Linked DNA regions of Macaca fascicularis. The protein of the gene in region 1 binds, or shares a complex with, the protein of each later gene. Links are inferred from orthologs where the notes say so. Each region holds a gene or a part of one and is shown on either strand. Other genes may lie near its edges. The genes, in order: SNRPF, CRNKL1, GEMIN5, TXNL4A, CWC27, LSM3 and PPIH.

Region 1 (4,532 bases):
TAATGGAAAATTACTGTTTAATGGGCAAAAAATGTCACTTTTGGATGATAAAAAAGTTCTGGAAATGGATAATGGTAATGGCTGTAGAACAATGTTAAGGTATTTAGTGCCACTGAATTATACACTTAAAAATGGTTAGAGTGGCAAAATTGTAATGTATATTTTACCACAATAAAAAGAAAATTAATTACAAAAAAACCCCCACCAAAACACATGGCTGAATCATTTACAGAAACTCATTTGACAGACATACAGTCAGTTCAATTTCTTCGGCAGATGTGTCTTTCCCCTGAAGGAATGAATTTCCTCAATAACTTTGGTGTTGTGCCTTTAGCATCATTCATTAAAAGACTCATGAATTTCACTTGAAAACTTTCTTTCAGGGCTAAATGATGAGAAATGTTTTGTTTTCTCCAGCAAAGTAGTGTGTTTCCCTTACAGTATTATTATGAATTAAATGTCTGAGCTCTTCTTACTTTAACTACTAGGAATAAAATCTGTGGCTGAATTCTGGTTTAAGTCCATGTCTTGTACCTAGTATATCATAGTATCCTCCCTGGCTTTGACTTTATTTTTTAATTTTGCCGTACATTTGTCAATTTAATTGTATGTATTCTTATTAGTCAGACTAAACCTTTGAGCAATAAGGTGAAGCAAACTAAATGCAATGTTATGACCTTTACAGCTCTTTAGCTTACCTGCATGTTCATGTAGCCATCTACAGATACCAGATAGCCCTTGTACTCCATTCCCCACTTAAGTTTCACCATCACTGGCTTTCCTGTTAGTCCATTGAGGAAAGGTTTGGGATTGAGGGGTAAACTCTGCACAAAGAACAAAAAAGGATCCAATTAATTATTTTTCCTCCCACCACCAACTCTCTTCTACTAAATACCAATATTTTGTGGTATGCAAATGAAGAAAACTCTTGACTCATTATTTTAGTACACAATTTTCACTTTTATTTATTGGAGAGTACCAGGGAAATTTAAATATCCAGTTAGTCAGTATCACCTTTAACCCATCAAAACAAAATACTCACTATTCACTTAAGATAACACCGACTACATACATCACTTACTGTTCTGAGCTCTAAAGAAACAAAGATAAAGGCACTTTAAAAAAAAAAAATGCGGGCCAGAAAGGGTGGCTCATATCTGTAATTCCAGCATTCTGGAAGGCCAAGGCAGGGGGATCACTTGAGGCCAGAATTTCAAGACCAGCCCAGGCAACATAGTGAGACCACCTTCTCTACCAAAAATAGTCAGATGTGGTGGTGCACACCTGTAGTCCCGGCTACTAGGGAACAGAGCAAGACCTTGTCATAAATAAATAACAGAGTCCCTGTCAAGAAGTTGGAGATGGGGAGGGGGGCTCCTCACATACAAATAATTATACTGCATATTGCAACATAATAAGAGGAGATATACTAGGCACAAGGGTACCGAAGCAATCCAGGGAAAAAAGGAAAGGTTGCCTGAAATAAGTTAACCTCAGTTTTAAAGAATGAGAATTTATTTCCAGAGCGGGAAAAAATCCTGTTCCAGGCAAGGCTAGCTACTTATGTAAAAGGAGGGAAGAGTGAAGCAACAAGGTGATTTTGGGGACATACAATTCAGCATTGTCAGTCAAAGTCCCAAATATAAGACTACAGAAGGAAGCAGAGGGCAGATGACGCTTGACAGTCTTTAACTGTGGAAGCTAGGGCTAGGTCCTAAATGACTTTGTCACTAGCACTGCCTCTTATAGAAATCACTTAAAGTTTGTTCAGCAAACCATTAACATCTCCAGTGAATTCGGTTTTTGCCTTTTTCTGCTCACTCACCAGTCAAAGAAAGAACAGAACTAAGAAACTTGGCTACTAACCCCCTCTAACATAAACATATTCGGAGTGACTTGATACGGCGATTACTCCAATAACCTAATGGGTCTCCAGTTTTCATTCTCCAATTTATTATCCACCACAGCAACATGATTTTTTAAAGTGCACATCAAATTGTCATATTTCTGCTTAAAATGATTCAATGGCTTCCAACTCAATCATTTTCAATTGATTTGGAGTACAATCAAAACCTCCCAATACAGCCTAAGAGGTCCTGTCCAACGCCTGCTCCTCCGACACCATCTCGTAACCACTCTTCCTGCAAGTGGCTGTACCTTTTTGTCAATTTCTCCAACTGACCAAGCTTTCTTTCCGGCCGCAGGTCTTATGCGCCTATTCCCTGTGCTCGGTACACTCCTCCTCCTGCTCTTTAAAGGGTCTATTTCATGACACTTAGGCTTCAGGTTAAATTCCACCTCCTAGGGAGGCCATCTCTGACTAAGCCTCTAAATGTCTAACGCGCACCCTCACAGCCTCCTGTCTGCATTCTTCTTAGCACTTATTACTTGCAATTGCATATTTGTTATTTTTTGACTGTCTGTCTTCCCCAACCAACTGAGTTAAACTAGAGCATGGCCGTATCATTACTTTCATGCAATGAAAGTGAATTTTGGAGTGTGGTTAAGTGGGAAGTGCAAATTCTCTTTGAGTTTTACCCCGACCCTGTAGCCACAAACAAGAATATCCCAAGCCCGGATTCAAACAAAGAGGAGAAGGCACGGGTACTCCTAGAAAAAGAAAGGCATCGGGAGGAGCACGCGCCTCAGAAATCCTAAAAGCAGAGTGAAAGAAGCTGGCGACCGGGTGCGCGGCGCCTCACGCGGATGAATGGGAAACGCGCGAAGCAACCACTAGGCCCCGCGAGGTGGTCTCCCTCCTTCTCTTTCTCCCCGCTTCTCCCGCCGTTCTCGTTCTCCTTACCATCGTAACCACGGCCGAATATTGCAGGCTACTCACTGCCGACCAGGCTGCCGCTTGTCCCTCGTGACTACAGCAGGTACCCCAGGTCCCGAGCCGCTGAATTTCAAGAAAAATGGCCGCCAAACAGGAGTGTGACCTTTCACCTCCCACCACGGCCCTTCCTGCCTCTGTGATTGGACGAAAAGAGATGCGCGCTGATTGGAGGAGATGGTTGGACCAGTATCTCCTGGCAACCAGCAGCGGCTTGAGTTTGCGCCTGGCCGGCTGCGCGCGGGTCTTGGGAAACCCGCTCTGAGGAGCAAGGTGAGGCAGCCAAGGACTGGAGGCAGGCCGGTGTTGTAAATGTGCGGTCTGGGAGAGGCTGTGTAACGGATGTGACTTCTCCCCAACTTGGTTAATGGGGATTTTACTTTGTCTTTTTACACCCGTGAGAATGTTCAGGATCCCAGAGTTCCTTCCTCACTCTTCCAACAGGTTCCATGATTTGGGGGCGCCTCTGCCGCAGGCCGTTTCTACCTGAGTATTCTCTCTTCTGCAACACCCATTTCAACCCCTTTTAAAGGACTTCGGGGGTAGCCAGACAAGACTAGGGGCGGTGAAACGCACCGAAGGGAGTCGGATACAGAATTTATTTTAAACGAGGTCAGGTTGTGTCTGGGATATGATGTCATGTCCCCCCACCCCCCACGACCCCGCCGGCCCCATCTTTCTTTTGCATCGCCAGCAGAGACTGGCACGGCCTTCTTACGTGCATTTGAAATTACCTAAGGGCGTAAGCAATATTTCCGCTGTCACGGATTAAAACTTTCGACGTAACGGTGTTATCTGAATCTCACTGGTTTTTGTCGTAATCCTAGTGAGTTCGGCTCACTCTGATCTGAAATGCTAAATGCAGTTCTTGGAGAACACGCCCTTTGGGAAGTAACGCTTTTTTGCGGCCCTGAAGAGATGGATTTGAGGTTGAGGATGAAATGTTGGTTGTTGAGGCACTGTGGAGCAGTGGGCAAGACTTTGGAGAGGGCCTGCATTCGGAACCTGCGTCTATCAGGCGCAGCCGGTGTTGGGCAGTGTCTTAACCCTCAGGGCCACTGTTTCCACGGCAGGAACGCGGCTTTAAAAACGGAACCATCCTCAGCGTGGTTGCGAGAATTTAACCTAAAACGGGGCTTGGCCTTGTAAAAGCTCAGTGTTTCACATAAGTGTTGAACACTGACAAGACAGTCATTGTCAGTGTAGTTTTTACCAAACAGTTATTAGATTTATTCACCCTAAACTTAAGTGGATTTCTCCCTTAGTTTGTATATTGTTTCATGAACTTTAAGTCTTTGTGCAGACTTTGAGTTCCTACTATGTGTCAGGCTCTTTCAACAATTGTGGAAATCTTACCTTACCGTCTGATTCGGGGTGACAGCCCCGTTTTAGAGATGAGGAAGCAGGCCCAGCAGGTAACTGTTACCAGTTGAGGGTAGCTGTCCGAGTTCTTGCCGTTTTCAACAAAGAATTGGACAAAACGCACAAACAAAGCAAGGCAGCGAAAGCAGAGATTTATTTTAAATGAAAGTACACTCCACAGGGTGGGCACCGCCTGGTGCAAGCGGCTCAAGAGCATTGGTCACAGAATTTTCTGGGGTTTGAATGCCCTCTAGAGGTTTCCCATTGGCCCACAACCGGTCCGATTGGTTGCAGGAGGGGACCAATAAGAGGTACTTTCATTTTTCAACTGCCACGC
Region 2 (3,925 bases), on another chromosome or scaffold:
CAAGTTTAACAATTGTGAGCATGATATAATTCTATTGTTGTTACAGACATAATGATACATAGTCACATATTTAAGCAAATGCATTGGTAAGAATAGGCATCTAATTATTGACTATCATGAGAGTGATGACTATAGATGAAGGGGTGCTTGCTGTGGGACACCTGGCCAGTAATCTAACCTCTGTATTCCTGTGTCTTTTCTATTTATGCAGTCTCAGGGATGGTGTTTTTAAAATGAGAGAACATGTAAAATTTAGAAGAAAAGGTGCTAAAATATAGAAAGTCGGCCTGATGCCTTTTTTCAGCTTGCTTAACCTGGCAAGTGCAGCTCTTGGTTTTGTTTTTTATTTATTAAACTGGTTGTCTTTCTAGGCGAATCCACACAATTACGATGCATGGTTTGATTACTTGCGCTTGGTAGAAAGTGATGCAGAAGCTGAAGCCGTGAGAGAAGTCTATGAAAGGGCCATTGCCAATGTCCCACCCATTCAGGAGAAGAGGCACTGGAAGCGCTACATTTATCTTTGGATCAACTATGCACTCTATGAAGAATTGGAGGCAAAGGTGAAAAAACAGAATTATGTGTCAGCTGTTAATGGTTTCCTCTCCTCTGTATTCACAGCTCACCTATTGTGGATATTTATAATTCTTGAAACAAGGAAATTTAGTTTTAAATTTTTATAGGCTTCTGTTCAAGCCATACAGTTACATGTTCACTCTGCAACATTTTAAACTCTCTGTGCTTGTTATGGCCACACGTGAGGGGCTTTTCTTATTTTGGTTTGATTTTTACTTGAGGCACAACAAGATATCACTTGGAACTTGAAAGAGAACGGTGAACCAGCCCTTAGTTTAATTAAATATAGTTTCCTGGATTTGCTCATTAATAGGGGTAATTATGGCTAGATTATGCATTTTTGCTTTTAGGAAAAATCAAGTGGCATTTTCAGAAATCATTTGTATTAACCTTCTGGGTTTGATCTGAGACTACGAAATGTCTTTGTTTCTTTCCGCCATCAGGCAAAAAGTCTTTCTACAAAGAAGGGCTTAGAGTTTGGTGTCTTGTTGGTGATTCTTAAACTGAAGTTTCATGGCCATTCATACTTTAGATCATAAATCAGGGTTGGCAAGTAACAACTTGTGAAACATACTCAGTTTTGGGGATGTACCTTTTTACTAGTATCAGTAAAATTAGTAACTAGTAAAATGAGTGTTAGCAGCAGACTTCAGTATTTTGTGAAAATTTCTTATCCTAATACAGGATCCTGAGAGGACAAGACAGGTGTATCAAGCCTCTTTGGAACTAATTCCTCACAAAAAGGTATGTTTGCTCTAAAGTGTTCCATTTCAAACAGGTCAGAATCCTCTTCTGTTACTTGTGAAGTAACTCAGTGAAATAATATTGATTGATAAAATATTTCCCTGACCCACCATGGACAACATAAGTAAAACTGAGATATGCACCTTGCCTCTGAACACAGCTCACAGTCTAGGTCGGAGGACTGCCTGCATTGACAAACAAAGGAAATTCAGAGAAGGCTAGGTAATTTGAATAGTCTGAGTGGAGGGAGAAAGATTTCCATGCAGAGAGCACACAACATGTGTCGGGGACACAGAGGCAGATTTGTTGGTAACAGCGAGTGTGTCCATGCCCAGATCAATGTGCCCCTTGTGTAGATGGTTGAGATGTTACCTCTGCCTTGTTTCCCAGCACGAGAAACAAAACGTGTTTCCTTCTGTAGAAGTGTTGACAGAGTTACTTTTCAGAATAGAGGTAGGACATTCTGCCCACATACAAGCACGCCTACAAAACAAAGTCTGTTCTGAGTAGAGGCTATCGTGCCATGCAGTACAGTACAGTATTTGGATCATGATTCTGAGGAGAGGCTACCATGCCAGGCAGTACAGTGCAGTATCTGGATCATGGGATGTGGGTTTCTAGCTTTTGTGAAATGAATGTGGTCTTTTTTGCTTGTAAATAAGCAGAGTACATTCCTCTTACTCTGAAGTTTTAGAGAAATAGAATTACCAATGGCCTTGGTTAATTTAAATTTACTTTACTTCAATTTAATTTGGATGAGGCTTTTAAGCTAGATATTTTTGTGCTTTTGTTTTCTAGTTCACATTTGCCAAAATGTGGATACTGTATGCACAGTTTGAAATACGACAGAAGAATCTGTCATTAGCCAGAAGAGCATTGGTAAGTAAAGAAAGGATCAAGATGTCTGATTAAGTTCTATGAGAAAGAAATTAAAGTCTTGGTGCTTGGAAGTTATACAATTCCTACTTTAGAAAGTGACAGAAGTATTATACCTTTATAGCCTGGGACATGTTAGAAAATATGCATCCTCTGTAAAAACACTGACTAATAATGCGTAAATTATTCTTATTACCTGGGGTAAATTACATTTTGTTTCAATATTGGAAACTTCTCTAGCTACCAGTTACTAGATCTTTCCACAGACTAGAATTGGTAATCTGATCCTGTGCAAGCTTTTTGGTGTATTAAACGCACTTTTAATTGTTCTACTTTTTTTTTTCCTTTTTTTTTTTCTTTTCCTGTTTATTGGTTTTTTTTTTTTTTTTTTTTTTTTTTTTTTTTTTTTTTTTTGAGACAGGGTCTCGCTCTGTTCCGCAAGCTGGAATGCAGTGGCACAATCTTGGAATCTTGGCTCACTGCAAACTCTGCCTCCTGGGCTGAAATAATCCTCCCACGTTGGCCTCTCAGAATACTGGGATTACAGGCATGAGCCACCATGCCTTGTCCTTTTTATTTATAGGAGGTGTTATGCATCTGACATCCATATTCCCTAGGAGATCCTGAGAAACTTTCAAATCTTATTTTATTTAGTTGCCCAAACAATTCTGGAACACTGCCTCTTGCTGAATGAATTAGAGGAGTTTCCTTCAGCCTTTTGTCAAGAATCAGTAAACATTGTGATACCACAGAGGGAAAGAACGGTAGGCCACGTTGACTTTGCAAGATTCTTCCTCAGCAGAGGACAACCTCTAGGGCAGTGCAATAACTGCACAAATTGAATCCACTACAGTATCATAGTGGTCTGGTTATTTTATTTTCCAGGGAACTTCCATAGGCAAATGTCCAAAAAACAAATTATTTAAAGTTTACATAGAGTTGGAGCTACAGCTTCGAGAATTTGACAGATGCCGGAAGCTTTATGAAAAGTTCCTGGAATTCGGACCTGAAAATTGTACCTCGTGGATTAAATTTGCTGAATTAGAGACAATCCTTGGTGATATTGACAGAGCACGGGCAATCTATGAATTAGCCATCAGTCAGCCACGTTTAGACATGCCAGAGGTGAGCATCTCAAGTCAAATACCATTTTAAGATACTTGTTTAGTCTTACTTTAGATGACCATCTAAATGTGGGTGTATTTTAGAGTATAAAGATGATCTAGCTAACTTAGTCTCTTCTGCTCAGATTAGGCTTGTATGTGGAAAGGTGACTGTCGGGGACAGGGGAGGTACCCCTCCTGTTAGATACCAGTAGACATCCAGGATGATGCCCAGGATGAATTGGGATATCGTGGGGGTGGGTGATGCCCCTCTCCAACAGGGAAGCCTAAAGGGGCTGGGGAAGATGCCAGGCAAAGAAGCAGCCAGCAGGCTGGCCCACCTGGAGAACAAGGGGGATGGAGGTGGGAACACATATCCCTGTATTCTCTAAACCAGGATGTCCTTGCCACTACTGTTGTCACTGTCCTGAAAGTCGTCGCCTGCCTTCAGTAGTTAAGCTTGACCCACAAGGTAGCACCAAACCACAGCTAGGACCAATTTGAATCTCACAGGAGCCGTAGAACTCACCCAGTTGTTTTGTTAATCTCATGCACTGACATGACCCTGCATTTAATGGTTTGGCCCCCTGACTGCGTTAAGGCAGAGCTTTGGGTATCACTGAGTT
Region 3 (3,925 bases), on another chromosome or scaffold:
TTAAGGGAAGGTTCAGTACTCTTGAGGCCTGAAGAACAGAGTGGGTACAATTATATCATTTTATCGCTTATTTATTTATTTATTTATTTTTGGAGACAGAGTTTCGCCCTTGCTGCCTAGGCTGGAGCGCGATCTCAGCTCACCGCAACCTCCGCCTCCCAGGTTCAAGCGATTCTCCTGCCTCAGCCTCCCAAGTAGCTGGAATTACAGGCATGCGCCACCATGCCCAGCTAATCTTGTATTTTTAGTAGAGACAGGTTTCTCCATGTTGGTCAGACTGGTCTTGAACTTCCGACCTTAGGTGATCCACCTGCCTCAGCCTCCCAAAGTGCTGGGATTACAGGCGTGAGCCACTGTGCCCGGCTGAATTATATCATTTTAATTATACATAAAACTTCAAATTTTACAGTTCAGACCTATGAAAGAGATAGCTAAGTTCTGGGAACTCTTGCAAACTAATTGTTTTATATTAGTGTGTGTTTAATGCAAATTAAAAGCAAAATTGCTACCTATCTCATAGAAGAAGCTGAAATTACCAATGGGAATGCTGTGGCACAAGCTCCAGTAACAAAAGGCTGCTACTTAGCCACTGGAAGCAAAGATCAAACCATTCGAATCTGGAACTGTTCTAGAGGCCGAGGTAAGATTGATCTTTCTTTTGTGATGTAACCTGTGTTGATCTGGTGGAAGTAGAGGGTTTTTTGTTCTGTCTTATTGTCCTGTGGGTGTGTCATCTATCTGAGAGCAGTTCTTCACTTTTCGGTCTAGAATTCTGCTTCCTCATTTGAGCCTGGGCTAGAACTGTCTATTCTCTCAACATCTGGCCTTAGAATGAGTATTTCCCATGCATTCCAGAAGAAAACAAGGACCTCTTGGTTTATAGAAAGGGTCACTATTTGGCATGGAGAGCAGAATATTTGTAATAAAAATGGGAATATTAGAACATGATATGGCCTAGGCCAGGAGAATGGAAAAGATCTCAAGAGTTAGAGCTTTTAATGCACAAATGCAGAATAACATACACCCAGCCTGGAATTATGTGTAAAAGCTCATTTTATCCAAATTATAGAGCCCCTCAATCATTTAGCGTTCCCAAATTTCTCTTTGAACAGAACTTTTCTCGTTAAGTTTAAAAATTAAGAGAAACTCTAGGCATAATTAATATTTATAATATATTAGGGAATATAACCTTTATAGTAAAAATCTTGCTTTTCTCTTTCTAGCGGGCTTCTCCATTTTATTTTTTTTTTCTCGCAGTTTTTTAAGCTGTGGTGGAAAATACAATATTTGCCATTTTTATCACTTTTAAGTGTACATTTAAGTGGTATTAAGTATACCCTAAAGTTGTGCAACTGTCACAACCACCTGTCTCCAGAATTCTACTCTCCATTCTCCCCTCCCCCGGGCCCTGGCAACCATCATTCTGCTTTCTGCTCTATGATTTTGACTACTCTTGAGTATTTTCTTTGAGTGAAATTAGACATATGATATGTCTTTTTGTGATTGGCTTATTTCACTTAGCATATATCCCTGAGGTTTGTTGATGTTGTACCGTACGTCAGCATATCCTTCCTTTCTAAGGCTGAATAATATTCCATTGTATGTATGTCCCACATTTTGCATACCCACTCATCCACTCGATCTCCTGACTTCATGATCTGCTCGCCTCAGCCTCCCAAAGTGCTGGGATTACAGGCATGAGCCACCGCGCCTGGCCAAAAAAAGAAAATATACTCTTAATGTGTTGAGGTTGTCAAGATAGCTTATGGAAGCTTATTTGACCTAAATGTAGCTGGACTAGTATTAACCACTGTTTATAGTGGTTAAAAATATAACCATTATAATGGTTATAATTGTAACCATTGGAAAACGAGATCTGAATTCTAAGTAACCAAACTAACAAGCTTTTACAGCTCAGACTGTGTATTGTGAACTGCCAGCAATGTCATGCATGTAATTTCACTGTCTTGAGTGCCCATTGGCCTTCCTTTTAATCTGCAGGGGTGATGATTTTGAAATTGCCCTTTCTGAAGAGAAGAGGAGGGGGTATAGACCCAACTGTTAAAGAGCGCCTTTGGTTGACACTCCATTGGCCCAGCAATCAGCCAACACAGCTGGTATCTAGCTGTTTTGGGTAAGTCTTTTATGGTCATGCTTTCTTAGATATGTTTTGTTTTTCTATTTGGCCTCAAGGACTCCTAGGTTTCTCTTTGTAGATGGAGAAAATAATGGCCAAGGCTTGTATTATGATGGGCCCCATTTGAAATGGAAAAATTGTGAGACTGATGCTTGTGCTGTCTACTAACAGAGCTGTAAAAAGATCAAATAAGTATAGTCTGGCAGTTAGGAATATGGACTCTGAAGTCAGAAGTAAATTTCAGAATCACTTTGTCACTTACTGCCTTGTATTCATGAGCAAGACCCTTTACTTTTCTGAGCTTCAGTCACTTCATGTGTAGAAAGGGGAGATGGTTATAATATTTTCTCTTAGGTTGGATGGCTATGCCCATTCAGTAAACAGAGTTCATTGACTACCTACTTCTAGTGACTGGAGATAAATCTGTTTAAAGGGTAGTCCAGTATACTCACATGGTTCAAGAAGAATGAAATTATATAATAAACTGTCCTGTCTTCCCTGGCTACTTGGTTCCCCTTTCTGTGGCTCAAATTTTTTTTTTTTTTTAAACAGGGTCTTGCTCTGTTACCCAGGCTTGAATGCAGTGATGCAAACACAGCTCACTGCAGCCTCAACCTCCTGGGCTCAAGCAATTCTCCCACCTCAGCCTCCCAAGTAACTGGGACCATAGGTGTGCACCACCATGCCCAACTAATTTTTTAATTGTTTGTAGAGGCAGTCTCACTTTGTTGCCTAGGCTGTTCTTGAGATCTGGGCTCCAAGCTATCCTCCTGCCTCAGCTTCACAGAGTGCTGAGATTACAGATGTGAGCTACTGCACCCAGCCTTCCCAGAGATATTTTGTGCGTATTTTCAGAATATGCAATTTTTCTCTCCTTAAAAGACAAATCATTTTGCAGCTATGAGCCTAGACTCTGTGACTCAACAGTCACTTGTTTTCAGATTGTTTGTAAAAGAACTAATGCTTATGTTTTTCCTTCACAGAGGTGAACTGTTGCAATGGGATCTCACTCAATCTTGGAGACGGAAATACACCCTCTTCAGTGCCTCATCAGAAGGGCAAAATCATTCAAGAATTGTGTTTAATTTATGTCCTTTACAAACAGAGGATGACAAACAGCTATTACTTTCCACATCAATGGATAGAGATGTAAGAGCTGCTTATTTTCACTCAGCATTGTAGAGCAGCAGTTTACAACTTGGGTGGGATTAGAGGGCTTTTTCAAAGCACCTGTCAAGTCATAATACCCCACCCCTGACTCCAATTTCAGAGTTACTGCTACAGATCAGCACTGAATATATCAATAGCTCACATGTAGGGAGAATGTGAAGACCCATCAAAATGGTTTTTTGTTAAAGCAGACATGATAAAGAAGTTTTGCCCAGGGAAGGATATATTAGGTCAAGCTTGTCCAACCCATGGCTCAGGATGGTTTTAAGCTCATCAGCTGTTGTTAGTGGGGTTTTTTTCTTTTCTTTTTTTTTTTTTTTTTTGAGACGGAGTCTCGCTCTGTCTCCCAGGCTGGAGTGCAGTGGCGCGATCTCAGCTCACTGCAAGCTCCACCTCCTGGGTTCACGCCATTCTCCTGCCTAAGCCTCCCAAGTAGCTGGGACTACAGGCGTGCCCACCTGCGCCCGGCTAACTTTTTTGTGTGTGTGTTTTTAGTAGAGACAGGGTTTCACTGTGTTCGCCAGGATGGCCTCGATCTCCTGACCTCATGATCCCCCTGCCTCAGCCTCCCAGAGTGCTGGGATTACAGGCATGAACCACATGCCCAGCCTAGTTTTA
Region 4 (4,515 bases), on another chromosome or scaffold:
TTTGCACTTTTTGTACAGACAAGGTTTCACCATGTTGCCCAGGCTGTTCTCAAACTCCTGGGCTCAAGGGAACCACCCACCTCGGCCTCCCAAAGTGCTGGGACCACAGGCGTGCGACACAATGCCCAGCTGAAAACTTTATTATTATCACTTTATCAAATGAATTGCCCCACACTTATTAGCAAACTGTAGGCACCTGTGAAATATTTAAGTGTAGCTCTGTTTCCAGACTAACTTTCTTCCTGAAGTTCACAGCTCAGCTCTAACCCAGCATGAGGCCAGTGGGCCTTGTGGAAGCAGCAGATCAATACAACACATCCAGGAAAAAATCGTATCAAGTCCAGCCGAACATCTGCAACTGTTACTCACTTTAAAACAGCTGGGACATCGACAGGACTCATAACAAGATAAGGAAGATTCTCCATTATCTGCCATTTCTGCACAGGGAAATTTTTAAATAGTTATATTGTTCTTTATACTAAAATCTTACATTTCAAAAATTTCTGTTGAGTTTCCCCAAAAGAGCTTCCAGAATTAGAAAGTCATATTTTGCCCATATACTAAGAAGAAAATAAAACACGAATAGTCTTTTAATGCATTTCAGGTTTGCACTTATTTTTGGAGACAGGGTCTCACTCCTGTTGCCCAGGCTGGAGTTCAGTGGTATAATCATGGCTCACTGCAGCCTTGACTTCCCGGGCTCAGGTGATTCTCCCACCTCAGCCTCCCAAGTAGCTGGGACTACAGGCATGTGCCACCACGTCTGGCATTTGTACTTTTAGTAGAGAACGGGTTTCACCATATTGTCCAGGCTGGTCTCGAATTCCTGGGCTCAAGTGATCTGCCTACACTAGCCTCCCAACCAAAGTGCTGGGATTACAGATATGAACCACCGTGCCTGGCCTAGGTTTGCGCTTTTAATAATTATACTATAATATTTGCATTAAAAGTTTATTAATAAAGCAATCCAAATTTTTGGACAGAAACAAAAATCAAACTATTTTAAAAGACCAAAAAAAAAAAAAAAATACCCCAAAGTGAGCCCATTTCAACTGTCCTTAAGTGTGTGTCCACTAGTGATACAGTGATTCATTCTGTAATAACAAAGAAATCGGACATAAAGGAATTGGAAAAAAAGAGCAAATCTGGCAAAGACCCTAACACTTACATTAACACATAAAATCTGTTTCCTAGCTAAGAGCATCTTGCTGAGCTCTGCCTGGATGTGATGAGACAAAGGCCCTCACATCGCCAGCCATCCTAGCCTCGAGCTGCCGGCAGCAGGATCTGAACACCAGCTGATGTTTATGCCACCATCTGCAAGGTAGAACAGTGAAAGATTCTAGAACTCGTAACTCAAAGTCAGTGATTTACAAGCAGTGATTTACTTATTGGGAAACTGCTCTTCGTCAATTCTTCGCTGGATTTCCAGTATCTGCCCTTGTCCACTACAAGTCAAGCAATGAAAAGCTGATGTGCTGGCACTGCCTCACTCATCATCTCTAATCCCTGGCTGGCAGAAGCCCCAGTGTGAGAGAACTGCTGCTCTCCTGATTCCCTAGGCAGCTCCTCAAGTCCTCAGTGTCCTGCTGTCCAAGAGGAAGAGGCTGGGAGATGGCTGGTAATAAAGCACTCCGCCTCTGTCCCTGACCCCCATGGAAGGGTTTCTGAGTGTGTGGTTCAAGGTCAGGTCACATCAGAATTCCCTGAGGGGCTTCTTTAAAAAGCCATTGCTGGACTTCACCCCACACCCATAGACTCAGAATCACAGATGCATTTTAGTAAGCACTCCAAGAGATTCTTGTAATAACTAAAATATAACAACAGTTCCTAACATCACGCCTCTCCTACTAAATAAGAAATAGCAAGAATTAATAAATGGCAGGCCAGACAGTCTTTCCTTTCCTCAATATAAAATGTCTTTATATCTGTTACTCTTTACTCAAAGGAGTTATTTTAACCCAGCCTACTTTAGCATCTGTGAAAGAAAAGATAGCTTCAATGTTACTTTTACTCTTCATCAAAATGAATAACCGCTCAAATTACTTACGGAAAATTAATATGGCAAATATTTTATTAACACCCTAGTATTTGTGCCCTTTGCCCTATTGCTACAGCTGCAAAACCTAAATAAACGCCATCCTAAAATTGCTGTGAGGAACCACAGAAAAAGAATGAAACCTGGTTATAAAATAGTGTCCCACAACTTTTATTGTCAGCAAGTAAGTGCCAAGGCCACTCAATGTACTAATATTAGAAATTCAGAAAACTAGTTCCAACAAAGCATAGTTCTATTTTCTCCCGATGTTTTCTGCATCTTAATCACTCTAAGCTATAAATCACATGACTTACAAAAAGCGCGGTGGGAGAAAACAACAACAGAAAAACAGGATTTCTTATGCTATTAACATGAAAGTTCTGCTTTACACATACAACAAACAAACAAGGCACCAAAAAAGGGCATCCTTTTAAATTAAGGATCTGCGCTCTCAAAATCTGCAAGTGTTACTTTGTTCACTGCACTGTAAGATTGGGAAAAACGCCTTACCAACAGAAATAATGAATTCCTTCGAGGGGAGGGGGATCATAAACCCTTTAAAACGTGAACAACTACAGGACCTCCCTGCAGAAAAAGGCGCGAAACGCCGGCACAGTCCCCGAGAGCGCTCGCCCGCAGCGCGGGAAGGAATCGCCCGGACGACCGCGCCGCGGCCCCTCCTCGGGGAACGGCTCGCGCCCCCAGGCGAGGCCGGCGGGGCAGAGGCGCGGGGCCGCTGCGGAAGCACAGCCAGCAGGGCGGGAGGGCCCGGCGCGCTACCTTCTCGGCGATGCTGTATAGGACCTCGTCCATCTTCATGCAGGTGGGGTCCCAGTCGTGGCCGAAGCGGATGACGACCACGCGGTCCTCCTCGGAGAGAATGGCCTGGTCCACCTGCCAGCCGTTGTGCAGGTGCGGGAGCATGTACGACATGGCGACCCGCGCGCTCGCCGCCGCCCGAGGCCGGGCGCCAGGGAGGGCCCAGCGAGGTGGTGGGCTCAGCCGGCCCCTCACTCCGCGGCCCCCGCCGCCCCCGGGCCCACAGCCGAAACCCGGTCCCACCCGCACCCGCAAGCTCCGCTGGCACTGCCGCCGGGCGGAACCTCTGGGCGCGCACGCACCGACGCCGTGCGTGCTGACGTCATGCGCACGGGCTGGCGCCGTGCGTGCTGACGTCACGCGCGTACAGACGCCGCGCTAACTTGTCGTTGGCCGGCGGGAGCGGCGGCGACCTGGCCACGGTGGAGCGCGGTTGGTGCCCTCCTAGCCGGCGTCGGAGTGGGGGTTCCTCCCCAGCGTCCAGGCGGCCTGGTGGTCCTGAGAAGCCCCGGGCTCGCCGTGCCCTGCCCCGACGCACCCGCCCCGAGGCCGCCCGCCGCCGCCCGGGCTGTCCTCCAGCCACGGATGGGGACGTCTTCAGAAAGGCCCGGCATGCCCGGCACTGCGGCTCGTTTTTTTCCTTTCCGGTGTCTGTTTCGGGTCATCGTTTGTGCTGTGTGTTAGCGAGACGGTTCGTGTGTGTCATTTGTGAAACTTGACCATAAAAATGTGTCGTTGTTGCCATACCCAGCCACGGCAGAGCCGAGCAGCGGGGTGGGGGGAAGCACTGGGCAGGCCGTCCTTGAGGAATGTCACCGTCAGGCCGGCTGCTGAGCTGCCTGTTGTAACCCGAAACCAGAGTTTTTGTCTTTTTATAAAGAAAAAAAATTTTTTTTGAGACGTTGTCTCGTTCTGTCGCGCAGGCTGGAGTGCAGTGGCGTGATCTCGGCCCACTGCAGCCCCCGCCTCCCGGGTTCAAGCGCTTCTCCTGCCTCAGCCTCCCCGTAAGCTGGGACTACAGGCGCCAGCCCGGCTAGTTTTTTTGTACTTAGTAGAGACGGGGTTTAACCATGTTGGCCAGGCTGGTTTCGAACCCCTGACCTCAAGTGATCCGCCCGCTTCGGCCTCCCAAAGCGCTGAAATTACTGGAGGAAGCCACCGCGCCCGACCTGAAGCCAGTTTTATTGCATAGCTTCAGCATAACTTGCACCTCCAGGACTGATCTGGCTCCCCCGGCTTCGCTCCCCAGTCAGAGCTCCCCAGACCCTTACTGGTGCCTATGAACTTTCTCCAAGAGAAATAATATTTCTCTTTTTAAAATAAAACCTCTAATCTCTGTTCTTCTGAGAGAGCACTTTGGGTTCATGTTAGAGACTCCCCCTGGTTTGCAAACTGACATTGACAGTAAAACTCTTGTCTGCTATCCAGCCATCCTTGTGGTCCTTTGGATGACAAATTGACAACAAATCATGCCGGGGCGCGGTGGCTCAGGCCTGTAATCCCGGCACTTTGGGAAGCCGAGGCCGGTGGATCGCCTGTGGTTGGGAGTTTAAGACCAGTCTGACCAACATGGTGAAACCCCGTCTCTACTAAAAATACAAAAAATTACCCGGGCGTGGTGCCGCGCGCCTATAATCCCAGCTACTCGGGAGGCTGAG
Region 5 (3,925 bases), on another chromosome or scaffold:
ATATTCATTATATGATATATACTGGGGTATATTTTATACTCAAATTTGAATATGAATTTGTAGCATCTGAGTGAAGATATTAGTTTGACCTCACATATGTGTTGAACTTGAAAATGTGTAGTTTGCTTTCACATTGTTTAATCTTCAGATTGACACTGTGCCTTAATTTATGTTATTAGATTTATGAGAAAATGGAGTTTAAGATTGTATAGCTAGCAAAAGGCGAGATTCAAACTCCTGACTGCTACATGCAGTGTTAGTGTAACTCATTAAACAGTTACCTAGGAATATAGGAGAGATACTTTTAGACCTTTTGCTTTTTATAGTGTGTATTTGTAACCAGAGGGAACTTGTCTGCACTAGGGAGCTCTTGTAAATACAGCCCAACTGCCCTGCACTGGGAGAAGGGAGTAAGCAAAGTCAGCTGGTCTTCCTTTCTACTTCTTCTTACGTACTGTGTACTAAATACAGTTGTTAGAATACAGATTATATTTTTTAAAATATGCATTGTACATCCAGTTATGCTTTGCAAATATAAATAATTATGAGGGTGTCTCCAAGCCACTAAAATAGGAACTTTATAAATTATGTCAGTAATTGTATCAGTAAAATGCCTGGCCCACAGTAGATACTTGATAAATATTTTTTATTGAATGAGTTATATTCAGGTTATATTCAGTTGCAGGTAATAGAAGACCCAACTTAAAATGATTTAAATAATAAAGACATTTATCATCCTCTATGTCAAGAAATCTGGTGAAATCTTTAGGGAAGCTCTGTGAAATCTTTAGGGAACTGTGCTCTTTACATCTTTCTGCTTTGTAACCCTAAGCATGTGATTGAATCATGTCTGCCTAACTCAATAGTTGGTTCAACCACAACCTGCTTTGTTGCTACTTGCTTTTTGTTTGTTTTTACAACAACAAAAATAATAGCTTTTGTTTATTCAGTACTTCATACTACATATGTTCTCCTCTTGTGCTTACCTAATGTAAGTACAGAACTAATTTCAGTGATGTAAAATAATTTCTTTCCTTCCACCTAAAGGATTTTTTTAAAAACCTGTGGGGAAGTTTATACAACATAGAACTAACCATTTTAAGTGTACAGTTCAGTGTCAGTTAGTACATTCACTGTATTGTGCAGCTGGCACCTCTGTATAGTTATAAAACACTTTATTACCCCGAAAGAAAACTCTGTATCCATTAACCCAGTCATTCTCTATTCTCCCCTTGATAGGATTCAGCTCTGTGTCCCCACCCAGATCTCACCTTGAATTGTAATCCCCATAATCCCCACATGTCTAGGGCAGGACCAGGTAGAAGTGATTGGATCATAGGGGCATTTTCTCCCTTACTGTTCTTGTGATAATGAGTGAGTCTCATAAGATCTGGTGGTTTTATAAGCATCTGACATTTCGCCTGCTTGCACTCACTCCGTCCCGCTACCTGAAGAAAGTGCCTGCTTCTCCTTTGCCATCCACCATGATTGTAAGTTTCCTGAGGCCTCTGCCCAATGTGGAACTGTCAGTTAATTAAACCTCTTTCCTTTATAAATTATCCAGTCTCAAGTATTTCTTCATAGCAGTGTGAGAATGGAATAACATACCCCTTCTCCACCCACAGCCCCCAGCAACCACCAATCTATTTTCCATCTCTGCAGATTTACCTATTCTAGATATTTCTTATAAATGGAGTCTGACAGTATGTGACTCTGTGTTTGGGTTCTTTCACTTAGCATGTTTTTGAAGTTCATCCATTTTGTAGCATGTATCAGTATTTCATTCCTTTTTGTGACAGTCATATTCCATCATATGTATATATCACATTTTATTTATCCATTCATCTGTTGATAGACATTTGAATTGTTTACACCTGTTGGCTCTTGTGACTAGTGCTGCTATGAACATTTGTGTGTGAGTATTTGAGTACTTGTTTTCAACTCTTTTGGATATATATACATATATATAATTTGGATGTATATGTAAACAATCGATTCTTTTGGATATATATAGAAATAATATATATAAATATCTGATATTTCATAAAAGCAAATCTGATCATGTGCACAGTGATATATATATTATATATTGTTTATATATCAAACAATATATATCAAAATTACTTATAACTACTATTATAATTACTTATATATTATATATTGTTTATGTGAACTATGTATATTTACACTTAAAAACTATATATTAATATATAAACATATATATTACCTGTATACACATACACCTAGAAGCATAATTGCTGGATTACATGCTAATTCTGTGTTTAACTTTTTACACTATTTTATATTCCCACCAGCAATGTAAAAGGGTTCCAGTTTCATCACATCCTTACCAATACTTACTCTTTTAAGGTTTTTGATGTTAGCCATTCTAGTGGGTGTGAAATAGTATCTGATTGTGGTTTTGATTTGCGTTTCTCTAATGACTAATAATATTGAGCATCTTTTCTTATGCGTGTTGGCCATTATTGCTACTTCTTAATGTAAATTCTCTTATTCAGGCAAACTCTAATTCCTGCTCCCCACTCAATTTTTCACTTATGCTTTGACTCACTGAGATGCCATGCTTCTGCCATTCCCAAGTTAACTTCCTTTTCTTCTATCAAGTACCCTAATGATTTTAGGTTCCAGATAATATATAGTATGGGAGGTCATATACAATCTGCCCTGTATATTTATGAGTTCTAAATTATATACTCCAATTGTATATTTTTGAATTATATATAAATATGAATAATTTATTTCAATCATTTAGCAAAACAATTGAGCTAATTGGACTCAAGTATGTATTGTGTTATTTGTTTTGTTTATTCAGAGTTTCTTGAGGAGGGTGTATTGATGGTTCCAGACCTATAACTAATAAGTAATTTTGATGTATTATGAGTTTGTATATTAATAAATTAATTTTCTGTGAGGAAAAGAGGAAGCAATCGGAAATAAGGTGTTCATCTTTGCCAGGGTTTCTCAGTCTCCACACAGTTGACATTTTGGGCTGGTAATTCTCTGTTGTGGGGACTGTCTTTTGCAGTATAGGATGTTTAGCAGTATCCCTGCCCCCTACTCACTAGATGCCAATAGTATCCCCCATTTCTGAAAAATATTTTCAGAAATTGACAAATGTCCCCTGGGGCACAAAATTGCTGCTCCTTCCTGCCAGAACTCTCTAATTTCTATTTTGAAAACCAATCCAGAGTTTGAGAGAATCCTAGAAATAAAAACAAAAAGTCAGCAATGATGGTTTCTGTAGAAATGTGTGCTGTTTTGAGAAGTAACTATTTTATAAGAAGGAGGATACAAAAGGTTTTGGCTTGGGAGCCTATTTAACGTTCTGGAAAATAAATCTTTTGACTCTAGCTGTATTAATTTTGGTAACTGTAGATATGATTAATTTTAGACATTGATAAATTATTTTTATTTTTTTTCAGCTTATTATGACAATACCATTTTTCATAGAGTTGTGCCTGGTTTTATAGTCCAAGGCGGAGATCCTACTGGCACAGGGAGTGGTGGAGAGTCTATCTATGGAGCACCATTCAAAGTAAGACTGAATTATTATTTTTATTACTATTTTTGTTGTTATTATTTCCAAGTCAGTTTGGATTGCTTAATCGAAAATGATTGTGTTCCACAAGAGGAAAAAACATTTCACAGTAGTATATAAAAATCAGGCTGGGTGCAGTAGCTCATGCCTGTAATTCCAGCACTTTGGGAAGCCAAGGGGGGCGGATCATTTGAGGTCAGGAGTTTGAGACCAGCCTGGCCAATGGTGAAACCCCGTCTCTACTAAAATTACAAAAAGTAGCCAGGCATGGTGGCACACACCTGTAATCCCAGCTACTCAAGAGGCTGAGGCAGGAGAATTGCCTGAACCTGGGAGGTGGAGGTTGCAGTGAGCTGAGATCGCACC
Region 6 (4,552 bases), on another chromosome or scaffold:
ATGATTTAAAGTATGTCGGAGTATGCGCATAGGTTACATGGAAACACTAGGCCATTTGATACAAGGTACTTGAGCATCACAGGTTTTAGTATCCACGGGGTATCTGGGAAGGACTACCTTAGTTTGCTCAAGGAATGTCTGACTTGAGATTTGAAGAAATCAGCCCTGGCAAAAGCCATGGTGGGGGGTCACTCTAGGCCGAAGGAATATCAAAGGAAAAGGCTCAAGAAATAACTTGGCATATTTGAGGAAGAGAAAGGAGGCCAATGAGGAGGGTATCTGGCAAGGAAACAAGTGGTAGGAGAAACAGGAGAGGTAGCAAGAGCCAAAACACGTAGCATCTTGCAGGCCAGGATAAGACAACTGGGTTTTAAACTAAGAGCAATGGAAAACCAAGGAGAGTTTAAAGCAGGAGCATGGCATGATTTTTTTTTTTTTTTTAAAGATTATTTGCGTTGCTGGATGCAGAGCTGGGAGGCCAGTCAAGAGGAAACTGCAGTCACTCAACTGAAAGGTGATGGTGACTTGGACAGGGGTTGTGGCCATGGAAATGAAGAGAAGTGGACAAATTTGAAATACAGTCTGAGGCTGAACTGACTGGACTTGCTGACGGGACTGGATGTGTGCACATAAGAAAAAGGTGGACTTTGTTTTATAACAAGTATTGGGACTGGAAAAACGGAGGAAACCATAGATTTGAAGGGGAAGACCATGAGCTCTGCACTGTCCACGACAAATGTAAGAAGCCTATCCAATATCCACGAGGGGAAGTCAGGTGGGATCCCACTGTGGAACTCTGGGCGAGACTCAGCTGAAGTTATCATTCGGGAGTCAGCACACTGCATCACTCTACGTCCTGGTCCGTCCGTCCGTTTTCCTGGGACACAAATAACTGCCTTCTCCGCGTTCAACCCTGAACATCTGCGCTGTATCCTCTGGACAACGGGGAGCGGGAAAGAAGCTACGCAGGAGCTTGGGTCGGGCGAGGCTCACGGGAAGCCGCTCTGGGTGCAGAGGACAAAGGCGCAGGGACAGCGGGGAGGGCCGGCCGCGGCCTGCCGTGCTGCCCCCACTGCGCGGAACGCGCGCAGCAACCTCCACCCGGCCTCCGCGTCTGGACTCCCGCCGCCCCTGCCTCTGGGCCTCCTCCGCCCACCGGCAGAGTCTCCCGCGAAGCCCGCTGGGCCACGCTCTCACCCTCCTCCTCCTCACGCCGGGTCTTGCTCTTGGCCTTGGACTTCTGGCTGCGCGTTTCGCGTCCCCGCGGCTCCCCGCCGGCCGCGCGCTTCCGAGCCATATTGCTTGTCGGGGAAAAATCCACTTCGCGAGTGACGCACCAGGCCGCGATGCGTTAGAACGCAGGCCCCGCCCCGAGGCGGGCGCGTCTGGCCGCGCCCCTTCGTTGGAGGCCTAGTCACGCCCCCAAAGGAAGCTCCGCCCCATACCCGTGGCCACTAAAAAACCGCGGGAAGCAGGCAAGAGCACAGCAGGTTTCTATTTCCGGTGTATTGTAGCATCACGTTTCCGGAGCTCGGCGTTGCTCTTGTGTTCTCGCGAGAGGCGGGAAAGGGCGCAGGGTTTGAAACATGGCGGACGACGTAGACCAGGTGAGTGAATTTTAAGGCGGTGGCTCGGCGCCGCTTCTTGTACTAAACTGCTTTTTCCAAACGCAGGAAAAATGGCCAGTCGCGCCTCTTCTTTCCAAGTCACACGGCCTAATCCGCCCCATCCTTTCCGTAAACACCCCTGTCCGAATTTTGCTGCAGGCCCTGAGGTCTTTTCCGTTAGAAGGCCACCTGATGACTATTCATCACACTCTTCGCTTTGTTTTTTTAAATCTGTAAATTATTATGCGTGCCTACCTCACGGAGCTGTCAGGATTCCAATAGAAAGCCAGATAATAAAGTTAGGAGTTGTTATTACTGAGCACAACAATTATTTACTCATTCAGCAGAGAGAGTGAACATCAGCTTTGTATGGTTAGACACTGTTCTAAGAGCCAGGGACACTGACATCGATATATAAGTGATCCTTGCCATGACTTGGAGCTTATATTCGCGAGGAGAACAGATAAATATAAATATGTAAGATTTATAGGAACTGTGATGTGCTATGAAGGAAACAAGGAACTGGTATGCAGAATAACAGATGGTCCTAGAAGCTTTTTCACCTGGTCTTTTTCTTCCTCAAATATCTTTGGAGATCATGCTACAACTTAAACTTTCTACTGAAATCTCACCTCCTCAGAGAGGACTTCTGCCCAAATAGCACTCCCCCTACTCTGCTTACCCTGCCTCATTTTTCTTCATAGAACGTTATTTTTTCATATTAAATGTATGCATCTTTGTTTAATGTGTATCTCTCCTGACTAGAATGTAAGTGCCATAACAGTAGGCATTTTGTTTTGTTCATTCTTTTGTCCTTGGGGTTTAGAACAGTGCTGGAAATACTCAACAAATATTTGAGTGAATGAGTTAGATGATCAGAGGAGGCCTCTTTTAAAAGCCAATGTATAAAGCTACAGGATGAAAAAGAACAGAAAGTGGGCATCCCAGACAGAGGCTTAGGTAGCAGTAGAGCTCTGTCATGTGCATATTCTTACAGTATTATAATTATTCATATGCCTATCCACATTAGAATGAGCTCCTTGAGGGTGGAGATTGTGACTTCTGTATCATTGTAATCTAACAGTTGGTTATCAGATCCTTTAACAAACACCTGTTGAACTGAGGGACATAGGGACCAGTTGAGTTAGGTTATTTTTTTTTCTCTCATCGGGCCTTTTGAATCTTTAGCGCCTGTTACGAATTCAGTTACCTTCCTCCACTGGCCTTGTGTGCTTACTAAAGAAGCTCTCCTTGAATCATCTAACTCTTTAATGGCTGCAACCCTCCCTTCCATGTGGGTGACCCCAAGTCATCCTAGCCCTGACCTCTAAAACCAGTGTTTCCAGCAGTTCTTTAATAATATAATATTAGTAGGAATCTTTTCTTTTCTTTTTTTTTTTTGGATGGAGTCTCACTCTATCGCCCAGGCTGGAGTGCAGTGGCGTGATCTCAGTTCACTGCAACCTCTGCCTCCTGGTTCAAGCGATTCTCCTGTCTCAGCCTCCCAAGTAGCTGGGACTACAGGCACGTGCCAGCACGCCTGGCTAATTTTTGTATTTTTAGTAGAGACGGGGTTCACCATGTTGGCCAGGCTGGTCTCAAACTCCTAACCTCAGGTGATCTGCCTTTCTCAGCCTCCCAAAGTGCTGGAATTCAGGCCTGAGCCACCACGCCCAGCCAAAAGGAACCGTTTCTAAGTATTAATATTTTCTGCTTTCCTGGCACTGTTTTAAATGCATTAACTAGTTTCATCCTCATAAGAATCCAGAAGGAAGGTTGTGGCTTTCTCAATTACAAATGAAGAATCTGAGAATTACAGATGGCATGATTTTTAATCTCAGTTCATAAGTGTCAGGTCACAGCCAGGAGTTGAACCCAGACTGCCTGACTCCAAAGTCAGTGCTTGCTTGCTTGTTGGCACCATCTTGGCTCACTGCAACCTCCACCTCCCAGGCTCAGGCAATCCTCCCACCTCAGCCTCGGAGTAGCTGGGACTACAGGCGCATGCCACCATGCCCGGCTAAGCCAGTGCTTTGAACCAGTGTTCTATTCTGGCTACTAAATATTCATCTTACTGGCCAGTTGGCAGCCTAACCTCAACCTGTGCTGAATTCATAATCTTCCCATAAACCTACACCTCTACTTGGCATTCTGACTAGTATATGGTAGGCATTAAGTGAGTGTTTTTCCTATGATTACATAATATTTGAGATAAAGCTAAAGTTCCTAAGACCCTATACCCTGAAATCGGGTCAGGCAGTTTGGATTTTGAGGGAACAAAGTATAGTCATGATTATTTTGCTGTGTAACTCCTTCTTATGTATGCGTGTTTTAATCTACATTTATATAGCACATACTATGTGAAAAGTTCTGTTCTAAGCCTTCATATATGTCACTTAAGCCTCATAAAAACAGTATTAGGTAGACACTATTATCTCCATTTTACAGATTAGGAGACTGAGGCAGAAAAAGGTTAAATAACTTGCACATGGTCATACAGCATAGCAGTGATTTAAGCACTACTTTATCTCTAGTACTATATTACTAAACCTGTTTCTGTTATCAGCAACAAACTACCAACACTGTAGAGGAGCCCCTGGATCTTATCAGGCTCAGCCTAGATGAGCGAATTTATGTGAAGATGAGAAATGACCGAGAGCTTCGAGGCAGATTACATGTGAGTAAATTTATCAAGTTACCTTGAAATCAGATTCCTTCCCACCCCCACTCCCTTGAAATGTAAAACCTGTCCAGAGTGAAAAGGTATTTTGAAGGAAGAGAGGGTAGTGGAAAATCACCCATGTTTCCATAAGCCAGATGAAGCTGCATGTATTCACATTTTTAATATTTTTTCTTTTAATAGAAGTATGTTTATTATAGAACATTTTTATTCCCTTCATTTTTCCCTTCTGTTTATTTGTAAATAACATTTATTTGTCCTCCAT
Region 7 (4,597 bases), on another chromosome or scaffold:
AGTTATCTATCCCACAGGGTTGTGAGGACCAAATGAAACGAAGCATGTAAAGTATTTAGCACTTAGTAACTGCTTAATAAATGCTAGCTATCATCATTTATTTTCACTAGCAGTTTATCAATGTACTATTTTTTTCACAACCTCATCAACATTGGGTATTATCAATTTTAAATATTTATTCTAAAACAGTTGGTATAAAATTATACTGAAGCATGACTGCTGCTGTTCCTTTTCTCCCTCTTCCCCTTTCTTCTTTTTCATTTGGAGGAGACCAAGAGGAGAGGATCAGTAACCAGGAATAAAAATGACCCTTTAAATTGAGACACACTGGATTTTTATATGTAATTCTTGCTTCCTCCGACGACAGAGCTAGAAAAGATGATCAAAGGACCTAGGAAATAATAACTATTATATTAAATGCATGCTGTTATAGCTAATGAGTCTTGCCCAAGTTCCCCTTCTTTCACTAAATTCATTGAATCTATTATATTTACCTACTATGTGCTATTCAGTAGGAGACATTGCAGCTACAGCTGCGAACAGGACTGAGAGAGTCTCTACTTTCATGGAGTTTATATGCTATTAGGGAGGAAGATGTATGTGTGTGTGGCAGGAAATGAGGTGCAGACACATACCATACAAATGTGAAATGGGGGGTGGCATGAAGAAAACAAACCAGTGATCTGAGTGACCAAGGGCTACTTTAGATTAGGTCTAATGTTGCCTCTGAGGAGGTAACATCTGGGGTGAGCCTTGAACTACAAGGAGCATTACTTCCCACACACATAGCCCAACCAAACCCCACCATCACCCCGCCAACCCACATTAAGATCTGGAAGGAATATTTCAGACAGAAGAAACAGCTATTACAAGGCCTTAAAGAAAGGAGGGATCTCAGTGACCTGGAGGAGCAGACAGGTCAGAGCACAGTAACTAAGGGCAAGTGGTACAAGATGAGGTCAGGTAGGTAATAGCCAGATTAATGCACTGGAGGGCTTCCTATGTACAGAATTGGATTTTATTCTAAATATAGGAAGCCAGGAGTTATTTTAAAAATAAATAGGAATCACAAGAGGTATTTTAAAAATAAAAAATAAAAAACTCTAGTTACTCTGTGGGAAACGAATTGGAAATGACCAAACTGGGAGCTTGTGGCAGAACGGAAACCTAATCTATTGTCCTGACTTAGAGGAAGGGACAAATATTTACTTAGCAAGCCTTTACGTGCCAAGCTGTTCTAAACGCTGAGGATGAACAAACCAGAGTTCCTGCCTTCACGGTGTTCACAGACTAGCGGGCAGAAGACAGACACAGCACGTGTGGCGGTGTAGAGGGCTTGGTTCCAAGAGCCGATAAGGAGGACCCTGGCGACTGCCTAGTCCAAAAGCCCTAGCTAGAGCAAGATCAACTTGTACTGCCCTTAGTACAGCCACGTGAGTGGGGTGACCATCGACCTTAACCAAAAAGATGTCAAGGCTTTCCTCCTCCTCACTCCCGCGTCCCCCGTCTCAGGGAGAGTCTCCCAGCTAGACCCCAGCAGCCTCAGCACACACGGCACGGGGCGACAGCTTCCGGGGGCGGGGCCCGGTCTCTCTCTGCGTCCACCGCGCCTGCTCCCCGGACGAAACCCGCGGACAGGGCTTTAGGTTCGCCGGAATCCCATGCTCCCGACTTCTGCTTCCGGGTCGGAGCCATGGCGGTGGCAAATTCAAGTCCTGTTAACCCCGTGGTGTTCTTTGATGTCAGCATTGGCGGTCAGGTGAGATCCAGGACGCTACCCACACCTGCGCCGAAGGGAAACTGCTCGGGGCTAGCTAGGCAGGCAGAACTCACTCAGAGAGAGCGGACTCGGGAAGCCAGCCAGAAAGCGAAATTGCACCCGAACCTACCGACCTGCAGGGCGGGGAGAAATGAGGAGAAGTCTCCCCAATCCTAGCGCCCCGCTTCTGGAGGAACTGGGTGGTTAGACCAGAGAGGCGGAGGTGGGTGATACCGAGCGGCAGGGTGGTGGGTCAGCCCATCCTGCCCCCAGCTCCGTGAAGCCCTCATGGTCTTGGACTGGGCCTTCTGACAGTCTCCCGCTGATTGCAGGAAGTTGGCCGCATGAAGATCGAGCTCTTTGCAGACGTTGTGCCTAAGACGGCCGAGAACTTTAGGTAAGGACGTGCTCCAGTTCCGCTGGATTAGCTAAGGCAGAAGTCGGGCTCTAGTCAGCCGCCTGAATAGCCTGTCTACCTCTGTCCGTCCGCTCACTGCTCTTGAGACCTGATTCCTCCGTGCTTTGCTCTGTCTGGTTGCCGTTTGGATTGTTCCCGTGTTAATTTACGTTGTTAGTCTGTACGTCTCCGTGTTTGGACGTCTGGCTGGCGGATTGGTGGACTTGCTGGCTCCATTGTTTATTCTTTCCCGTCTTTAGAGGCGGTCACGACTGTGATGTCATAGTGATTGAATTGTTCACTTTTTGTCCCTTTCAGGCAGTTCTGCACCGGAGAATTCAGGTCAGTTTCAGATGTGTTTGACTTCTTTGCCTGCTCCAGAAGGGTGTTCTGGGGCTGCGGTGAGGGTATCGGTGAACCAGCTGCTGGCCTTGAATGATTGCTGGTGACAGTGATAGAAGGTAATGCCCCAAGGGTCTGTCCCTAGTTTATTTGCCTTCTTTATGTCTGTCAACCATCTTTAGGAGAGTCCTTTTGGCTCCAGTGCATGGTAAACTGGAAAGGCCTTGTGCTACCTGCTATCACTCCAAGTCTCTTTCTTTTTGTTATAGAAAAGATGGGGTTCCAATAGGATACAAAGGAAGCACCTTCCACAGGTAAGGCTTTTGGCAAGCCATCCTAGAGTCTTTCAGAAATATTTCCTGGGGGATTAGGCTCTTTAGAGGAAAATAAAACCAGAGGTAATTCTTACATTTCTTGAGAAGAAATGTTTTTGTGGACTCAATAACTGAAGATTTATTAAATATTCTAACTCTACTTATACTCTCCCACTTCTTATGTCTTTAAAACAGAAACTACTCATCTTTACAATATCCTGTCTTTTTCATGCACTTGTTTGTGCAAATGCAGATTTTTAAAGAAGTACACTTGTAATCCTAAAGTGCATATAATATATCCTGCTGGTTGCTATTTATAACTAATTCCTAAAATGATCATATATGATTGTCCAAGGATAATCATATTTCCTGGGGAGTGGAGTATGGCAACACTTAGTCTCATTTCAATATAGAATCTTTCTCATGGCCTCACTGTGGTTAGTAACAATGTTAGCACATAATTATATCACAGCTTTAGAACTGTGGGTCTCTAATCCCCAGTAAGACTCCTGTGAAGTGGTATGTGTGATCTGCATTCTACAGAGGAGGAAACTGAGGATAACAAAGGTTAAGGACCCTCCCTAGGGGTAATAGCTAACAATTGTTAAGCCCTTACATGTGTAGCAGTACCTTTCACATAAATTCTCTGTAGTTCTTTCCCCCAAATTTACATCAAATCCTTGATCTGCCTTTTGCTTTGGCAAGTAATGTGGTCATTCTTCCTGCAGGCTTTCAGCCCCTTCTTCTTGTTACTGTTCAGGTACCAGATCATGCACTTGATCAACTCTAACATGCCCTAATTTATAACTAAAATCCTTTTTTATGGTTAATTATCCTTTCAGCTTAATCATTCCAGGAAAAGAATAATCTTCTTTTTTTGTTGTTTTGGTTTTTGGTTTTTGGTTTTTTTTTGAGACAGAGTCCCGCTCTGTCACCCAGGCTAGAGTGCAGTGGCATGATCTTGGCTCACTGCAACCTCCGCCTTCTGGGTTCAAGCAATTCTTTTGCCTCAGCCTCCCAAGTAGCCGGGAATACAGGCATGTGCCACCACGACTGGCTAATTTTTGTATTTTTAGTAGAGATGGGGTTTTGCCATGTTGGCCAGGCTGGTCTCAAACTCCTGGCCTCATGTGATCTGCCTGCCTCGGCCTCCCAAACTGCTGGGATTACAGGCGTGAGTCACCGCACCCAGCTAAGAATGGTGATTTTATAATAGCCAAAGTTATAGTGTATTTTGAAATCAATGTTAATCTAATACAATAATAACAAAGTCTCCATAAAATCTTCTCTCAGTATTCTTTGCTCTCTGTTTCAGGGTCATAAAGGATTTCATGATTCAGGGTGGAGATTTTGTTAATGTAAGTACTATTCCTTTTCTATCAAAGACCTGTAGTTTTAGTTTTTATTATTGTTGCAATTGCTGTTTTTACTACAGAGACCCAGTCTTAAGGCTTGAGAACAATAGCCAGGTTTGATGGGGGTGTTGGAGAGAATGGTGATGGGGAAGTTCTTGAAAGTGGCTAGGTACAACTGACTGTAGATAACAGACTTTAGCACTTTGATTGAGGCATTAACTTCCATGGTCCAAATCTCAGCCTTTTTGAGCCAGAAATTGGACTTTTTAAGAATACCCTGTAGATGATCTATGATAGGTTCACACTAATTAGTCATATGAAACTTAGTCAGAAATCAGCTGTGGTTTGTTTTTGTTTTTGTTTTTTTCTGAATGGAGGTAAATCTCCTTCTAGTGGACTAAATGCCTGTCTCATTTTCTCTTTTACTTCT

Evidence for each region.
Region 2: SNRPF (region 1) and CRNKL1 share a complex: the UniProt entries of both Homo sapiens proteins name them as parts of the minor spliceosome. The link is inferred for Macaca fascicularis from reciprocal best matches to the Homo sapiens genes SNRPF and CRNKL1.
Region 3: SNRPF (region 1) and GEMIN5 share a complex: the UniProt entries of both Homo sapiens proteins name them as parts of the SMN-Sm complex. The link is inferred for Macaca fascicularis from reciprocal best matches to the Homo sapiens genes SNRPF and GEMIN5.
Region 4: SNRPF (region 1) and TXNL4A share a complex: the UniProt entries of both Homo sapiens proteins name them as parts of the U4/U6-U5 tri-snRNP complex. The link is inferred for Macaca fascicularis from reciprocal best matches to the Homo sapiens genes SNRPF and TXNL4A.
Region 5: SNRPF (region 1) and CWC27 share a complex: the UniProt entries of both Homo sapiens proteins name them as parts of the minor spliceosome. The link is inferred for Macaca fascicularis from reciprocal best matches to the Homo sapiens genes SNRPF and CWC27.
Region 6: SNRPF (region 1) and LSM3 share a complex: the UniProt entries of both Homo sapiens proteins name them as parts of the U4/U6-U5 tri-snRNP complex. The link is inferred for Macaca fascicularis from reciprocal best matches to the Homo sapiens genes SNRPF and LSM3.
Region 7: SNRPF (region 1) and PPIH share a complex: the UniProt entries of both Homo sapiens proteins name them as parts of the U4/U6-U5 tri-snRNP complex. The link is inferred for Macaca fascicularis from reciprocal best matches to the Homo sapiens genes SNRPF and PPIH.

The regions. Positions count from the first base shown.
Region 1 is NC_088385.1:102,891,639-102,896,170, reverse strand, and holds the start of SNRPF (small nuclear ribonucleoprotein F), read right to left. Parts: upstream 2,929-4,532; 5' UTR 2,807-2,928; coding exon 2,804-2,806; intron 825-2,803; coding exon 699-824; intron 290-698; coding exon of another isoform or gene 227-289; exon of another isoform or gene 1-226. UniProt on the Homo sapiens protein: Plays a role in pre-mRNA splicing as a core component of the spliceosomal U1, U2, U4 and U5 small nuclear ribonucleoproteins (snRNPs), the building blocks of the spliceosome.
Region 2 is NC_088384.1:67,263,889-67,267,813, forward strand, and holds part of CRNKL1 (crooked neck-like protein 1), read left to right. Parts: intron 1-371; coding exon 372-563; intron 564-1,260; coding exon 1,261-1,320; intron 1,321-2,118; coding exon 2,119-2,199; intron 2,200-3,081; coding exon 3,082-3,321; intron 3,322-3,925. UniProt on the Homo sapiens protein: Involved in pre-mRNA splicing process. As a component of the minor spliceosome, involved in the splicing of U12-type introns in pre-mRNAs.
Region 3 is NC_088380.1:161,717,002-161,720,926, reverse strand, and holds part of GEMIN5 (gem-associated protein 5), read left to right. Parts: intron 1-520; coding exon 521-640; intron 641-2,001; coding exon 2,002-2,134; intron 2,135-3,120; coding exon 3,121-3,286; intron 3,287-3,925. UniProt on the Homo sapiens protein: The SMN complex catalyzes the assembly of small nuclear ribonucleoproteins (snRNPs), the building blocks of the spliceosome, and thereby plays an important role in the splicing of cellular pre-mRNAs.
Region 4 is NC_088392.1:1,012,474-1,016,988, reverse strand, and holds the start of TXNL4A (thioredoxin-like protein 4A), read right to left. Parts: upstream 3,146-4,515; 5' UTR 2,972-3,145; coding exon 2,819-2,971; exon of another isoform or gene 2,549-2,818; intron 1,242-2,548; exon of another isoform or gene 1,205-1,241; coding exon of another isoform or gene 1,169-1,204; intron 438-1,168; exon of another isoform or gene 436-437; coding exon of another isoform or gene 370-435; intron 1-369. UniProt on the Homo sapiens protein: Plays a role in pre-mRNA splicing as component of the U5 snRNP and U4/U6-U5 tri-snRNP complexes that are involved in spliceosome assembly, and as component of the precatalytic spliceosome (spliceosome B complex).
Region 5 is NC_088380.1:70,449,431-70,453,355, forward strand, and holds part of CWC27 (spliceosome-associated protein CWC27 homolog), read left to right. Parts: intron 1-3,443; coding exon 3,444-3,556; intron 3,557-3,925. UniProt on the Homo sapiens protein: As part of the spliceosome, plays a role in pre-mRNA splicing. Probable inactive PPIase with no peptidyl-prolyl cis-trans isomerase activity. As a component of the minor spliceosome, involved in the splicing of U12-type introns in pre-mRNAs.
Region 6 is NC_088376.1:152,442,751-152,447,302, forward strand, and holds the start of LSM3 (U6 snRNA-associated Sm-like protein LSm3), read left to right. Parts: upstream 1-1,545; 5' UTR 1,546-1,586; coding exon 1,587-1,607; intron 1,608-4,173; coding exon 4,174-4,284; intron 4,285-4,552. Other genes in the region: XPC (DNA repair protein complementing XP-C cells), read right to left, coding at 1,198-1,297. UniProt on the Homo sapiens protein: Plays a role in pre-mRNA splicing as component of the U4/U6-U5 tri-snRNP complex that is involved in spliceosome assembly, and as component of the precatalytic spliceosome (spliceosome B complex).
Region 7 is NC_088375.1:192,210,638-192,215,234, reverse strand, and holds the start of PPIH (peptidyl-prolyl cis-trans isomerase H), read left to right. Parts: upstream 1-1,669; 5' UTR 1,670-1,693; coding exon 1,694-1,759; intron 1,760-2,091; coding exon 2,092-2,156; intron 2,157-2,474; coding exon 2,475-2,498; intron 2,499-2,767; coding exon 2,768-2,812; intron 2,813-4,127; coding exon 4,128-4,170; intron 4,171-4,597. UniProt on the Homo sapiens protein: PPIase that catalyzes the cis-trans isomerization of proline imidic peptide bonds in oligopeptides and may therefore assist protein folding. Participates in pre-mRNA splicing.